2 linked regions of the Drosophila melanogaster genome follow. The protein of the gene in region 2 interacts with the protein of the main gene of each other region in a pairwise test. Each region holds a gene or a part of one and is shown on either strand. Other genes may lie near its edges.

The links.
Region 1: the proteins of CG14332 (region 2) and CG4066 interact in a two-hybrid assay, tested with the Drosophila melanogaster proteins (one large-scale study listed by BioGRID).

Annotation. Positions count from the first base shown.
Region 1 is NT_033777.3:12,309,719-12,313,660, reverse strand, and holds CG4066 (uncharacterized protein), read right to left. Parts: upstream 2,309-3,942; coding exon 542-2,308; downstream 1-541.
Region 2 is NT_033777.3:17,421,127-17,423,721, forward strand, and holds CG14332 (uncharacterized protein), read right to left. Parts: upstream 1,077-2,595; 5' UTR 1,051-1,076; coding exon 676-1,050; 3' UTR 564-675; downstream 1-563.

The sequences.
Region 1 (3,942 bases), 5.1 Mb from region 2:
CCAATTCCGAATGCCGAATCCCGATACCCGTGAGGGCCCAACAATGGCCACAAATGAAAAATCCACTTCGACTCATTGTGTCGCCTGTCACCTGGAATTAGTAACTACAAGTATGTTAAAAGGTTCATTCATGTTGCGCTTGTTTTGACTTTTGTTTCGCGCCATCCTCTCAGCCTTCCTGAAAGACATTTGTAGTTCTCGGCTTAGTTTTGGTCTGGGATTCGTTCTGGGGTCCCCGACATCTCGGTGCATCCGTGGTATCAGTTTCGCTCAGCAGCTTCACGGTGTTCCCTTGTCTGTAAATTGATAGCCAGCCAAAATAGTCCGCATATTTGCCATGAACAATTTGAGCTCGAGAACATAAAAACCGTAGCAGGGAATGCATTTATACAACCGTTGCACTTTAAAATCTTTTTATTTCAGACGAAATTGATACATTGCTCCAATTTTAAAGAATTTCAAATTACTATTAATAAAATAATGTAAAATAAAATAAACTTAAATTGTTTCAGGTTCCATTCGGTTTTCGTTTCAAGTTTATTTATGCTGGTGCCACAACATTCCACGATGACTCCAATGCGTTATCTTCAGCACCTAAGATCTGTGGGGTTCTAGTTTTCCTACTTTGGTTGATATCTTCTATGCCCTTATAGCTTATAAAACGGGTCGGATAGGTTTCAGTATTATACTCCGCAGATCCGCTAATGGCAATTGCCAAGTCGGTGCGCTTTTGAGAAATGCTTAAAGCGTGAGTTAGATCATTGATCTCTTTGAGATTAGTGGGGGTCCAGGCTTTGATGACAGCTTCTACGGAGTAATATCTATTTTCCTGGGTCTGGTTGAACAAAGCCAATTGGTTATCTAAGAATGACAGTTTTCTGATGGAAGTTTTCGTTAGATTTCTAACCTCGGGAACGTTCTTTAGTTCAATTAGAGAATTAATTTGCGATTTGTTCAGATTGTCAAACGAATCCTCTAAGCTATTTACTTTTGGCTCGATATATCCAAGGAGAAGTTGATTTACAAAGTTGAGTCTGTCATCCAATCCTTTTGTTCTGCGCAGAATTTGTCCTTGGGTAACGTTAAGTTTATCTACGAGGTTCCTTACACGATCTTTATTCTGCTCTTGGAGCCTAGTTAAATCTGATACGGCTTCGATTGATCGGTTGGCAAAAATGTCTAAGTTCTGAAAAGAGGTGACAACGCCTCGAAGAAGTTCCACTTCCCAAAGCAGAAGTTCCTGTGTCTGGTTTCGGAGAAGTTCCTCGGTGACTTCGATTGCATCAAGGTACTCTGCCTGGTTGTCCAGCTCAGCGTCTATTTTCCAGTTAATTGCGCTGACAGCATCAAGCTGAGTATTAAACCGATCTAGGGCTCCTGCATTTTCAGCCAGGAGTGCAAGAATTATTTCTTCTTCTGATGGTTGTTCAGTGGTTGTAGTGGATTCAGTTGTGGTAGTTGGCGAATCTTCCGTTGATACCGAAGTTGTTGTGTTATTTGTTGTTGAACCAATTGTTGTGGAAACTGTTGTTGGTGAAGACGAGGTGCTGGTCTCAATTGATGTGCTCCTTGTAGTCGTGGAAGACTCGGTTATAGATTCTGTTGTGGTGAAATCAGATGTGTTTGGTGAGGAGGTGATAGAATCGGCTGTGGTTGAAGTAGTTGTGGAAGTTTCATCCTTTTTGGTGGAACCCGATGTCGTAATTTCGTTAGTCGTAGAATCGCTTGTGGTAGAATCAGTTGTTGATAAAGAAGTTAGTCTGGAATCTGTTGTTGAAGCTGATGTTGTCGGAACAGTTGTGGTTTCAGTAGTTGTAGAATTATTTGTGGTGGAGTCACTTGTCGATGGAGAAGTTGTGGATGTTGTTGTCGTTGAAGATGTAGTGGAAACAGTTGTTTTTAAAATTCTCGTTGAAGCTTGAGCTGTGGTTGAAGACAGGGTCGCAAAATCGGTTGTGGTAGATTCATCTGTGGTGGAATCATTAGTCTTTGAATGAGATGTGCTGGAATCAGTTGTTGTTGTAGCTGTCGTTGAAGAGTGAGTAGATATTGAGGCCAGTGTTGTGGAAGTCGTTGTTGTTAATCCGTCTGCGGTATATTCACGGGTTAATCCAGTCTTCGTAGAACTTGTGGGGATTGAAATTGGCGTGGCTGTAATGATTGGAACATCAGTAACTCCTTCGGATTCAGTATTGGCCACTTCGTCAATATCCTCAAAGTCCACAAATTCCTCCACTTGATTGAAGGGATCTGCTGCAAAAGCAGCCCCCGTAAAGATCAACAAAAGAGTTGCAATTGGAAGAAACATTTTCAGACCGCACTTAATGCTTGTTCTTATAAAAGAACTAAAAGTTTAACTGCCATTTGATGGCCTTCACCCCAGCTTAAATACACTTTACATTGCCGCCCACGTTCACGTTTCGGTCTCAGGTGGCAGGTGTGCTATCTTCAACCGCTTTCTGATTCTCAGCATTCTTTTTCTTGTACCGTGCACTTTTTCTTTTATCGGTTTTATGCTGTGCTTTATGGGTCAGCTTGTACAGCACGAGTTTGATGTTTGAAGAAGCCACCGATTCTGGTTCATTGTACTTGCAAATGTAGACAAAGAAAAGAAAAACAAAGAGACACATGGCTAGATTTCCACAAGCGACAATTGCGGAATATCCATCAATAGGAAAGCTAACTATTAACCACATAAAAGTCAACGCCAGTCACATGGGGGTCACACTCAAAGTCAAATTTTAATGAAAAAGTGATTCATCATTTAAGCGGCTGCATCAATTAATGGCCAACGGGGTGAGTGGGGCGCAGAAGGGCGGGCCCCTCAATAAGCGGGTCAAATTAGAATAAATAGTTACACAAACAAGCAGACCCCTTTGCTCTCTCTGGCTCGCTGTAAAGGGGCGGGGAATTATTGCAACAAATCAAAAAATTAAAAATAAATAAAAATGAATTGAATAATTTGGGTCACCAATATATGGCTCTCTCCCTGAGGCGCACAATGCCTACGGAATGGGTCGAGTCAAGATGATGGTGGTCGCTTTTGGTGGTTATATGGGGATTGGGTTGGTTTGGGTTGGGTGGGTAGCTTTCAATATTCCTCATTAATTAATTGCCGCATAATTCATGTATTGCATGCTGCATGGATGTACTCAGAAAAATTACTTAGGTATTAGAAATAAGCTCAAATTACAAAAATATTTTGTCAAGTGGAATTTAGAAAAAGTTACCATTTGACACAATTTTTTTGGGAATTCAGATTATTAATCAAAAGTAGTGTTTGATAAAAATTAAAAAATTATTAAATGAAATCACAGACATACATTTAAATAATTAATGTTAATGATTTATAGAAGTATATCTTGTGTTACAAATTAAATTTGGACTCCGATTTTTATCATCAGTTTTCTTTTCCAGTGTTGGAGAAGAACTTTTGATGCACGTTCTTTTCGCTATTGAAAACCATGAAAATATTTGGAAATGGGCCTATGTTTCGGGTCCGTTCCGACTTCTTATGCTGGTTGACATTTAAACCCATTTCGATCGCGGCAGTATGGGGCTGATCCGTTGGGTGGATGGGAAAGGGAAGAGGATGAGGAGCTGGGAGCTCGGCATGCAATTATGCATTCATCAAGATTATGACACGACATGCAAGTTCCTCTTGTGTCTTTAGCAGCAAATGAATTTGTACTTGGCTGTGGGTGTTGTTCTTGTCGCAGTTTTTGCTGTAGCCTCCAGTGTTTTGATAGAACAATTTTGCCGCGGGCCATCTATTTTTTTCCATTTTACTGCAGGCTGTGGTGGCAGCACACGCGATTTGGAAGCGGCGCGTAATTAATCGTCAAATGAGTTTAATTGTTTATGTCTCTCGGTCGCGTCTGTGAACTGAATGCGGTGTCTTCAGATGACTTTCAGATAGGAGATGGCAGAATGGCAGAGCAC
Region 2 (2,595 bases):
AGCTTTTTTTTTTTTAATTTTTGAATGTCAGTAAAAACATACAGATTTATTACAAAAAAAAAAAATGTAAAGCAGTTAGAATCGTAGGATGTATAAAATAAAAAATTTATTTAAAAAAAAACATGTATGATTAAAGAGTTATGCACGAAATAAGATGTACTAAAACCTACATATGTATATATATGTGCTTTATGTGCTTATGCGCTTTAGTTTATTGTTTATTTTAGCACTCTGGCTTATTTTAATGATTCAAGAATCAGCGTCTTAACATAGCCGAATATCAACAAATTGGTAACTTTAAATGGTTTGAAAATCGAATTCATATTCCCAGCTTAAATGGCTACTCGCTTTGGGCAACTATTCAAGAAATGTTTAAATCATGAAGTGCAGCCAATTGAGTGCGTAACTTGTCGCTAAAGCTGAAATTGGCGTATTAACCAGTTCATTAAAGGTGACATTGTTGCTAAGGATTAAGTACTAGGTAATGCCTATGAAATGAATATTCCCCAATGCTCAATCTTATCCCTGCCATTGTAAAATAATCTTAATCAAGTTTCGTTTTTATGTAACATTTGTTATTATTTGCGATAGAAAAAGGTTTGAGAGTAGAATAAGAATGTGACAATAAGGATGTAGATCTAGGTTTGGTCATTTGCTGATGATAAGTTCTGTTTCTTAATAAGGCTTTTGGCTGCGTTGGCGATTCTGGTAGGAATTTCCATGGGCAGATCCACCTACATTTGGACGTCCATGAGCTCCAGCAGACGGACTACGCGGAGCTCCACCACGAGGACGAGATCCGGTCACTCCAACTACGGGCACTCGACGGGATCCTCCAACAGGACCAGAGAGGGATCCATATCCAGAGATGGGTCGTTGGGTCTGAGGGGCAGCGGAGTAGCCACGGGTTATTCCGGCAGCTGGAGCTCTAGATGAAATAGCTCCAGACTGATGCACTCCCACCCCGGATTCCTGATTCACCGACGACAAATACGATCCTTGGGCGAGGACAAGCAGGACACTGATCACCAAAATATAATAGAGTGCCATTTTGAAATAGGTCTTTTAATTGTGTGCTTGAATGTAGAGTAGGAAGCAACTGATACTTGGCTTAAAAGGAATTACTCCTTTTATAGCAGATACCTGAGTACTTAAAAAAAACATGAATGCAGTTAAAGGTACATATTATGTTAAAAATTAAATTATATGACAATTTTGATAATGTTGTAATGGAGAAACTGAGGTCAGATTTTATCTGTAATATACTCCAATGATCCAGTTTTGTAATTTCAGTGTTTAGCAGATGATAAATCAGAATGAAAGAGTTCAACAACCACCTGCTATTATTCATATAAAAAATATGAATGAGTAAATATGAATTCAAGTTAGAAGCACATACCTTAGCAAGCGTTGTTATATGTAGCTGAACACAAAATTTCATAGAAAAAACCAGAGATATATACTACATGCGCAGACGCATTTTCAACTCTTAAATCAATTTATGCATAAAACATGACTAGCAAGACATAGAAGGCTCTTTTTCATAAAATTATGGTCTAACTAACATTACTAGCAGCCATGGATTTAATTGGCATATAGAAGGCTTGATTAAGCCGGCCAATTGGTAAGCCAAAAAAGAAACACCCGCGATGATCGCGGTTGCCAGGAAGTAAGGCATTTGCGAAAATAGTTTTGAAAATATAGGCTCAAGTGATGGAGACCCAAAATAATGGTTAACCTTGCCATATATAGCTCAGGGTCCGTTTATTATCCATAACAATGAAAGCAAATTAGGCTTACGATTGTTTAAAAAATTGCAAACCCAATTGAGGTTTGATAGGTGGGCAATAATAATGAAAAAATGGTAAAAATGAAATGTCATGGTGGCAACATTGAATTACGTAAATTACGTAAAATCATTTTGCGATTTCTGAAATTTAGAAAGTAAACACAAGTGTGTGAACCATTTTTGGGTGTATCACTCATATGTGTTCAAGTATGCTTTTAATACCAAATATTTTATAATTACTCGGCATAACATTTTTTAGGTTTGGTTCTTAGCTTTAGGCACGTAATTTGCAACTAATTGAAACTCTACTCTGGTGCAATATGACTCATTCGCACCGTTGTCGCCAGCTGTGCGATCTAGGTGTTAACATTTTTTATTTACCTATTTTTCGTTTGTCAAGCTAACATGCGAGCGTTGTGGTTTCCAGTTACTCGTTTTAATTTTAATTACATTTTTCGTATACAATTAGCTAACAAATCAATGAGAAACCGTTAGACAAAAAGAACAAACACAGAAAAATTGTATATCAACAATTGCTCAATCGATCCGATCAAATAACAAATAACTTTGTGCCGAATATTGACATTTCGTAAGCATTTGAAAAGTGAACGCGACAACAACAAACCTAAATGCAGTGCGTTGGTAAAAATCTTGAACACGTTAAGAATGTTGGCAAGGTTGTCTGCCACGGCAGCTGCTACTTTGTGATTTTGTGGGCCTCCATCTGAGTCTCGATCCTCCGACTGCGTCTCAATCCGAGAGTCCAACTTAATTAAATTGGATTTTATGTGCCGTATTGGATCGGC